Linked DNA regions of Schizosaccharomyces pombe. The protein of the gene in region 1 purifies or fractionates together with the protein of each later gene. This does not show direct contact. Each region holds a gene or a part of one and is shown on either strand. Other genes may lie near its edges. The genes, in order: bch1 and cfr1.

Evidence for each region.
Region 2: the proteins of bch1 (region 1) and cfr1 purify together in Schizosaccharomyces pombe (affinity purification with western blotting, with the first as the bait; one study listed by BioGRID). This does not show direct contact.

Annotation. Positions count from the first base shown.
Region 1 is NC_003423.3:3,783,782-3,788,893, reverse strand, and holds bch1 (ChAPs family protein), read right to left. Parts: upstream 3,107-5,112; 5' UTR 3,047-3,106; coding exon 3,015-3,046; exon of another isoform or gene 2,966-3,014; coding exon 2,839-2,965; exon of another isoform or gene 2,816-2,838; intron 2,694-2,815; coding exon 1,074-2,693; exon of another isoform or gene 1,019-1,073; coding exon 848-1,018; 3' UTR 581-847; downstream 1-580. Other genes in the region: SPOM_SPBC31F10.17C (uncharacterized protein), read left to right, coding at 119-169, 245-577; F0-ATPase epsilon subunit Atp15, read left to right, coding at 4,432-4,460, 4,533-4,707.
Region 2 is NC_003424.3:3,267,940-3,272,917, reverse strand, and holds cfr1 (CHS5-like protein Cfr1), read right to left. Parts: upstream 2,722-4,978; 5' UTR 2,684-2,721; coding exon 821-2,683; 3' UTR 769-820; coding exon of another isoform or gene 653-768; 3' UTR 551-652; downstream 1-550. Other genes in the region: bouquet formation protein Bqt1, read left to right, coding at 219-501, 653-768; syb1 (synaptobrevin family receptor), read right to left, coding at 4,178-4,341, 4,406-4,607. UniProt on the Schizosaccharomyces pombe protein: Required for cell fusion, independently of fus1. Appears to have a role in transporting proteins that are involved in mating. May act as a scaffold to retain cell fusion proteins in the cisternae of the Golgi.

The DNA.
Region 1 (5,112 bases):
CAGGTTGACATGGCAACCATAAATGCTGGTTAAGAAAAATAAACAAACGTGAACACTATAGAAAAGAATTGAATTTCTAATCAAATGTTAGACAATGACAACTACACCATTGGGAAAGATGATCCAGGATGGTGACTTTGTATTCCAAAAAGCGAAGAAGGGCACTACGGTATGTAGCCGGGATGTATTTTCAAATACGTTGATGGGTTGTAGGAAATTCTTTGTTGTACTAATTGCTATGTAGATACCCAAGGCAAGGAAAAAGACATTAACAAAAGATTTACAAGTACAAGTGGCGAAAGAGCTGGAGCAAGAATCATCGTCAACTTTCCGATTTGCTTACGTCTTCCCTAGAAAAGCCCAAAATCACTATTATTCACCGAGTCGGACACATACAAGTAGCATAAAAAAGAAGAGGCCTAAATTGTGTTCTAATATAAACCTGACACCTTGGTCATTGATTGATTCGACATCTAATAAATCTATTAGAGAACAATCTCGAGAAATGGGGATTATAAGCATACAAAAGTGGGCTGAACAAGCAAGGATGCGCTCACTCTGCTTTCCAAAAAATTAACAAAGTCTGTACAATTACTTAAGAGCTCTTGATAGGAATATCATATATGATTTAAAAATGGTAAAAAAATTTTATTCATGACCAGAATATTTATATGCGTGTTAGATAATATATATAAATTCATTTAATCTCGATGAAAACACGAAAACGGGAAACAACATCACATGTTTTGACTAAAGAACGAAAACCAGAACGAAGGAAACGTGGAATAAAGAAAGCAAAGAATGTCGCTTGAAAACTCACTAGACGAAAGCTTTAATGAGTCTAAACTTACAATTCATGGCCAGGAATTTGAAAGGCGATAGCCCATTCAAAATACAGCTTATGTATAAGATTAAGGATATACGGATCAAGTCTAGTAGAAGCAAGGATACTCTTCATCTTCAAAGCGCCATCTTGCATAATGCGATTTTTCATTTGCTCCAGAAGAAAGGGGGAATACTAAGATTATGTTAGCGTTTTATAGTTATGGAATCTAAAAAAGAAAAAAACTCACCTCTTGATACCATCGGTAGTTATAAAGTGTTAATTTAGCGATAGCGGTCAAAACGAGCTCAATATTATTGTCTTCTGAATAAATTATCAAAAGAGTTTTCCAGGCCTTAAAAGAAAACATACTTTCCAAGCAAGCGCAGAATGCTTCAACAGCCTCAACACGATGATGCAACCGAAAAGCAACCTCACCTAGTATTTCCCATTCTGCAGGAGCTTTTCTGTAAGCTAGACCTTGAGATTTAAAGTGAGTATATTCAGCGCGCCAAATCGTAAATACACGTAAATCCTCATATAAAACCATAAAAAGATTATCTAGCCAGCGCTCACAGAGACGTTTACTCTGAACAGTGGCATTTTTTGGAAGAGAACCAACAGATGTTTCTGGTTTGTCTAAACCAACAACTTCTTCTGCAACGCTTTCTTCTGCAACTTCGTTTTGATCGGGAGAAGCGTTTCCTTCTGTAATATCATTTAAGGATCTATATTCTTCTTCCATCACAAAGACAGCTGAACGAACCCGCAATAGTTCATCCCAACCTATTTTGGCACATATAAGGGTGAGCATTTCATATGCCTTCGCAAATGTACCACGAAGACTGGGAGATGGTAGGCGAGCTAAGTAAGGATCGGTAATTTCGGTAGAAACTGTATAACCGTTCTGCGCATTATTTTCAACTTCCAGTTCTTCTTTAGGAAAATTGACAGGAAATGGTAAATGAGCACGAGCACTAGGAGGCAAAGGATAAGCATCTCTTTCATAGTAAGTATACATGGGACAGGAGTTTAGAGCTAACAACGCTGATTTAAAATCCTCCAAATGCAAGTATACATCAGCCAAACATGCCCAAGTTGCAAATTCTGATGGAGAAGCATGAACGGCGCGCTTAGCACAGATAAGTGCAAGGTCATAGCGCTCTTTTGAAATCAGAAACTTAACTTGAACAATAAGCAAACTAGCGGACATTCTTTGTTTTAGCAATGAATCATGCAAGATACGAACAGCATGCACTTCATGGTCCATTAGTAAGTATAGTTCAGCAAGCAAAACCGATACCTCTGGAATTGACACCCGGAGCTTTTCAAAAAGATTTAGAGCAGCACTGTAGCGGCAGGTTTGCTTCAAGTAAGCGAAAATTCCACGAACCAAATGATTATTTACATGCGTAGGTACCCGAACTTCAGAAGAAGACCCTAGAGTATAACCTAACGTAAAAAGCTGTTCGGCAGCCTCAAAAAATCTTAATTCTGCATCAGGATTTGGAATGGGGTTAAAACGACGATGTCCTGCAAAGCGAGAATTTGTATCATCAGAATAAAGTAACGAACGAAGGACTTCAGACATATATGCTTCTGTCCACATACGAGCATCGACAATATGCTTTTGCCCATTCTCATCAATAGCATATGTGTCAACACCTCCAGGAATTTTAGCTTCCACACGAACATCAACTTGAGAGAAGACATTGTAGCAACAGTAAACTCCGTGACTAACACGCCAAGCGTTTCCCTTCCCAAACCATTGTTGACTTTTATCAAGAGAATAGGAAAGCGTATTTAAATATGCCGCTAGTGAAGCTGAGGAAGAAGCATCAACTCCAGATACAAAGTGATAAGTTCCAACCTTTGACGAGGTTAATAATACGTAAAACGTTAACGTTTCAATAGGAGTGAAAAGTTTGGTAAAGAGAGACTTGTCTTGATCCTTTCCCCACTAATCTCCAACATCATTAACACTACAGCTTTCGCTGCTTTAAAAAGTGACATACCTCTTTTGATGGATTTTTTGCATTAACTTTTATAGTATTGACCTGATCAGGAGGCCCGAGTTCTTTAAATTGTGCGATGGATTTAGAACGCGCATCTAATGACTCGTTTACACGAGTTTCTAAAAACCTATCGTCATTGTTTAGAACTTCAGCTCAATTATATTTAAGGAACTTACTCTGGTATATCCTTAAAGAATGAATCACTCATATATCATAAATTGGAATTAATATGCAAAGCAGCGTTCAATTCGGCCTCGTGGCTGGTTCCAGTTAAGAGGTTATGGTGTAGCCGCAGCCTGACTTGCTGTAACGAAGTGTAGCAAGCGACAATTAGGCAATCGTCCACAATTTCCTTATATATAAAGAATAAATAAATATCATTAAATTATGCATTTAGTGTATTTGAAAACCAAAAAATAATTGAATATTATACATTTTGATTTGTATCTTCATTCATCCTGACAATTGATGATTTAGGGAAGTCAAAAGTAGTACCCAACGAATAGTGTAGCGATAATTTTTTCTTAAGATTACAACTCATTGATTAATACAATTGAAATAAAAATTTCTTGTTGGTGCGGAATCCAACGCAATTAGTATTAAAAAAAAGAACAGCTTTATGTTAGTTTCCACTAAAAGTTAGACCAGTCATACGCACAATGTTAGCTTTAAAAAACTCGCACAATACGCTGGTAAGCATATGATAAATTAATACAATACTTCCAAGCAATTGCGAATGTAAGTTGCTGTGAATTTTTTTCCGAATTTCGAAATCTTTAACGAACCTTTAATGAAACGTCTAAAAGTAGAATCAGGAGTTATTGATTTTTGCATTATATATCTCCTTGACAAGAAATTTTTTGTTTCATCTAGCCATACATTTTGATAGATGTCTCTTGCAATGAACCATTGTTTGTTTAAAATATCCTAAAACCAAATAACATGTGCGAATACGTTATTTAATAGTGCAAAATTCTACAAAGAAAGAATCGAAATTTATGCTTAAGCCATTCATGTTAACGCTCATCAAGAAAGCTAATTTGACTAAATACAATCAATGGAGAGTGCTAGTATACATTGCTTGTTTTAACTGACATTTTTAAATTAACTACGATAAGTGTTAAGATTAAACAAAGTGAGAAACGTAACAGTGCTTAAGTTCAGTTTTCTTGCGAATGTATTGAATTACTTTCACTTGCCCAGCTAGTAAACAATTAAGGCTTTGGTACCGCTTTGTCCTTCTAATAAATTATGGTTAGTAGCGAAAATAACCAGCCTTTTGACTGATGAGAGGTATATATTCATTTGTCAATTCAAATTAATACGGCCTTTTGAATATTTATTTACTGAATAGTGTTGATTAATAAAAAGGCAATCTGTATAGCGATGAATCGTTAGCATCACCAAAGTCATTTTAATCAAACTGCGCTATATTTTACTAAGAAAAGCACGTTACCAATGTTAGATTAACGAATGTACATATTGAACTCAATAAATGTGTCCGACCCTTACCGAACGGGGTTTCAAGAGAGTGTCATGGATTTTAAGTTACCGTTCCCCCATCTCTGTACGATTTAGCAATTCATTGAGAAAATGGCTTTTGCTTGGAAGAAAAACTTTAGGTATGGATTCATTTCTTGAATGTGAACATTAAATATACCCTGATAGTTTTACTAATGAATGAATATTTGTAGTTATAGCAAATATGCTTCTATTTGTTCCCAAACTGTTCGTCAAGCCTTAAAACCGGAAATTAAAAACGAGGTTAAAACTCATGGTGATGCAGAGTTCCTTTATACTCGATGGAAAAATGGCGCTCAGGAAAAAACGGAGTCTTACAATTCGGCAAAGTCTGCTGATAAGGAATGAAAATAAAGGCTACAAACGAATTTTTTGTCCTTCATTACCCATTGGTAATATTTCAGCTTCATTTGATGTTTCACTCATTTCAACAGATATCACTGATGGTTTACAATCTCTTATAATGATTACTATATTCGACTTAACGTTGAATTACTAACTGATCCTTTCAATAAATTTTTATTACTTTTTTTAATGATGAAGTTTAATAGAACAAGGTAGTTTGCTCTGTTTTCTTAAAACTGTTGAGAATGGCACTTCAAATCATTGTGGTTGCTCTGTATTTTCGATCAAATCTATAATCGGCCTTTGTCTCAAAACCAAAAATTGTTGATTTTACTATAATGAGATGTAGCTAATTTAGAAGTAAGTGAGTTTTGTCACTAATATCATTCATTAACGTAGTTTTTGTTT
Region 2 (4,978 bases), on another chromosome or scaffold:
AGGTGTGGATTTCTTTGTGTAAAAGAAGTCGATTCCTATTCTTTTTTTTAATCTTTTTTGATTTCAAATTTACACTTTTAATAGGTTGTTGGCTTTAATGTCTATCCTCTTATTATTATATGTGGTGTGTTCATATTTTATGCACCTCTTCTTCTACAAACGACGCGTTTTAAAAAAAAATCCTTTCACCCATCCTAAATGATACTGATTTAAACAAAATGCATTTATTAACTACGACGCTTATTTCTTTTGAACAAAACAAAGTAGAATATTTAACCCAAATCGCGATTTATACTCAAACACCTGTATGCACTGATTCAAACTGTGAGCATGCTAGATTTTTAAAACACAGCCTTATTCAAGTTTCAATTGAAAGGATAGAATATTTATACTCGATATTTCCGAATATATGGCAATTCGCTTTGCTTTGCCAAGGTCAAAATAAAGAATCATTGATACATATGGAAGAAGACGCCAGCACGAATTTCAAACTACGATATTGTAAGTTCTGTCTATCAGTATAATGAAACATAATTTCAAAACCTCCCATTACCCATTTTTGACCTAGTTGATTTAATTTAAAAAAAAAAATTTATTAGAGAACGAAAAAAAAATCCGAAGCTATATATTTACTAATGCTAAATGAGTTTAGATGTACTTCCATGGTCTAGAAGACTGCAAGGATACCAGAGCATTACAGTTCAAAATGGTTCCCATGTGCCTTTAGTCAAACGATTGGAAAAGTGGAGGATATTCGTAGAATGTTAACATATAAACATAAGAAAAAAAAAAGACTGCAGAATACAAGAGATCAATGTCATTAATCAATGTTTACACTTTCAAACTCGTCAGAAGATTGTATAATTTCTGCTTCTTTGTTGGGTATTAGATTGTCATCAGCCGTAGGTTCCGAACTTTGCTTAACTGTAGTAATATTTAGATCTTCTTCTTTATCGAGCGCATTCAGTTGCAAGTTAGTAGTATGCGCTTTTTCTGGCTCTAAGACTTCAGAAACTTGAGGGATTTCCTCAATTGCACCGTTAGTACCAATATCTTCAGCTGCTGCGGGAGATGGCTTATCATCGTCTGAATTTTCCTTAGTATCTAAAGGGGCTTCGATTATTTTCTCATCTGTCAAGCCATTCGCATTTTCAGAATTAGCATTGTTTTTTTCAACCTCTTCGTTAGTTGCAGGTCCTTCTTGATTCAATAAAGATTTAACAGCGTTCTCTTCAATTATTTCGTTAGGTTCAGCTTCTTCCTCATTCGCTGAGGATTCAACAGTACTCTTTGTAACTGCTTCACCGGAGGTAGTTTCTTCTTGATTGATTAAAGATTCAGCGGCTGTATTATTTTCTTCTTTTTCATCTTCAAGTCCTTCAGTCTCCGGGGTATTGTTTTCTTCGTTCACGTTAATCTGCTCAACGGCTGGCAAAGAAGATGGTTTTTCTTGATGATTGTTAGCTTCAACTTCGGAAGTTTGCTGGGCAGCAGGTGTACTTTCCAGATTCGAATGTTCCTCAGCATCCTTTATTTGCATATCCTCTTCGGGATTTTCCTGCTTTGTAGAATTTTCTGGCTGATCCGCTTTGATGTTTTCCGAAGAAGTTGGAGCTTCATTGGGCTTACTAGAATCACTTCGTAAACCAATGTCGCTGGAAACATCGATTGATTGCTCAGCCTCAGTTTCAGGCGCTTCAGCCGGAACAGAAGCTGAACTAGATGGCTCAGCATTTGCACTATTTTGAGTTCCCTGTTGGGTTGTTTGCTGTGGAGCTTTAGCTGATGCAGCACCTTGAGCAACTTCAGCGGTATTCTTCGGTTGTTCGGTTGTAGCATTGAGATTTGGTGCAGCATTTTGCGCAGCTTCTACAGAATTAATAGAAGCGTTAGCATTGTAAGAAGCGCGATTTTCGATGTAAAAACCACTAACGTTCACCAAACGTCCTTCAGATTCGCATTTCAACAAATAATCCAAACCTAAAATAGGGATATTGGCAGCTTTTGCCTTTTCGTACTCAGGACCCCCAGTAGAAGAGCAGATAAAATGAGTTGTATCGATACGAACGCTAGTTTGAATTGGTCTAGCGTGAATGCGTTCAATACACTTTTGTAAAGCCTCCATCTCATTGGGAACCATGTTGCCAACACACACTTGAATTCCTGTGAGATCTATCATTCTTAACGTTTTGATGGTAATGTGTTTGCTGGGAAATGTTCCCGCAGTCGTATCCAAAACAAGGGAAAAATCGTATTCTGTATCGAGAGATAAGCCACTCAGCTTGGCATTGTGAGTAGTCATGGGATTAGATATGTTAAGCACTCGAACATTATTACGGTACAAGCAAAGGCTTTTGAGTCTCGCAGTGGAGAGTTGTAAAGGATCCCATTCCAATACAATGCTAGTCTGAGTAGCATTCTTTAACTTAAGAACAGGAGGAGACGGCAATTTTTGGCCATATGTTTCAAAAATTTCTTTTTGAACATCATCGAATGCAGTTTCTCTTGCTATCTCTTCCTCTTTATTGTGATGCACAGAGATATCGATTATAGAGCCTGCAGTCGCGTCATTCGGCAGCAACACGGATGGAAATTCTATAATATGAAATGAAGGTGTCAATAAGATGGCCATTCCCGCATCTATTTTGGCCACAGACACCATAAATTGATTTGTATCATCCATTTTAGATGCTATTATTGATAATCCCCTTTGGTTGTGGTGGAGTGTTTACCTTAACCAGCACTCTTACACTTCTAACTATAGGTAGCACTTGTTACCTAAGGAACCGTAGTAAAAATGTAGGTTATAATCATCTTTGTTTTGATAAATATCAAGAGTTGTTGTGATTCCCTGGTTTTTCACAATCTATTTACATATCAAACTTATATATTTTTTAAATTTTCTGGTTAGTATCATTATAAGCGTAATTCTAGTAAGGAAGACAATTACAATTTATTAAAATTATATACAAATATTTGAAGATATATTTAATTCAATCACTCAGTAAAAGTGAACGATTTAATATATGTAGTTTATTATTATATTTCAACGAGAATTCATACAAACAATATTACAAAAAAATCTGTTGATTTTTTCAATCATCTAAATTATTAAAATATTGGGCTATTATTATCTATTCTTCAGACTAAAGCATTTTAAGGGGAGCAAATATACTACTTTCTGATACAATTAAATTCTAAATTACGTTAAGTTACATTGATAGTAAACAAAAACAAATGCAGTACTGTTGAACCCAGTTGATGAATATATCTTAATTCGTAAACCGTGCTGCATTCAAAATTTAAAATACTACACGAATGAAGGATTAGACCACAATATCTGTTGAGCAAAATAGAAGTCGAAAAATAATACAATTGTTAATCTGGATATAAAACCACGTGTGAGCAAACTTAAAAAATATTTCCTAATTATCAGGTTTACACATTTCACTCTATAAAATTAATTAAGAATAGTGGTTTTTTAATACACCTATCAGTGCAATAATCAGTATAAAAAGAAGCTAGCTTCTAAAGGAAAAATATGAAAATAAGATAACAAATTTGCTCCCGTACTAAGTACTTTTGAAGAATTAGAAAAAAGCCGTAGACAAATGGAATATCGAGGCTAATCTGTATACATTAAAACATTATCCATCTTTATGCTATAGGGTTATCCATATAAAGAGCGGAATAGAAAAGAAATACCGAGAAGGAAACAAAAATTCTATTTACCATCTTAAGTACGGAAAGTAATGATAATTTTGTATCCATAAAGATTTCCTTTGTCAAGCAAGCAAGGCCCATGATATGTATGGTGAGGTGTAGAAAGAAGAAAAGAGGAAAAAGCAATACAGGCCAAAACCAAATTGCTCAACAAAAAACCAACCTGGTATTCACTATCATTGACCCGTCAGTCATCAAGTATGTATATGCAAGAAAAATAAAAACGAATAAAGGATCTTGAGAAAAAATGCGTTATCTCTTTGCAAAAAAAGTGGCCCTGTCTACATCAGAAGCTTTTTTCTTAAAATTCGATTTATAGGTTGTTGTGTCAGGCAAGAGAGAAAGAAAGAGAGAAGGAAGAAAAAAACCAGAGACAAAAATACGCTTGAAAAAAAAGTATTCAAACAGCAAATATTTTGACTCGGCATGCGACTAAGCTACATGATACATCTTCTTACTTGCCATGAAATTTTGTTGCGATAGGAACAATAATGACAACAAGTAAAATGATGATACCAATGATAATGCAAAGACGCATACGCATGTCCTTCCACCACATCTTCTTGCGAACACGATTGGCGCCACGACGGAAGCCTTGCGCGCTAACAGCAAGGTTATCTTAAAGAAGTTAGCTAAACGTTCAAAAAAAAAATTTAACTGTTAACAAAAATAAATATCATACCTGTTTTATCTTGTAAAGAATCAAGGCGTTCTCCACGTTCTGAAACCTTAGAAATGTTTTCACGCATAATCCCCACAGTATCGTCAATCTGCTGCTGAATTGCAGCTGTCTTCATATTCGGCGTCGACGAAGCAGCAGCATTTCCACTACGAACAGCTGCAGAAGGCTCCGCCGGGATATATGGGTCATATGGCTCAGACATGGTCGTATGTGTTAGTTGGTGGAGGATTTATTTTTGCGCTCGGTTGGAGTTGATGTGTACCAATTCGTTAATCCTCTTTCCATTGCGTTAAACATCTGGCTTTGTAATGTTGGGTTGCAAAGCAGTTTTGTGATTATACTTATATAAATTAAAGAAAAAAAATAAAATAAAGTAATAAAATTACTTCTTGCCTTTTTACAATAAGAAACATGTAACTAGCTGTACCCTCATAGTAAATAACGTAAACAAATCCTTAGTATTGGTGAATTTGGGAGGAACCAACTACGCCCTTTGGAATAGAGATTTGGAAACACGTCTTGTTTCTTGGCGATTTGAGCTGTTCATAACAATATATTTCTTCTTCTAAATTT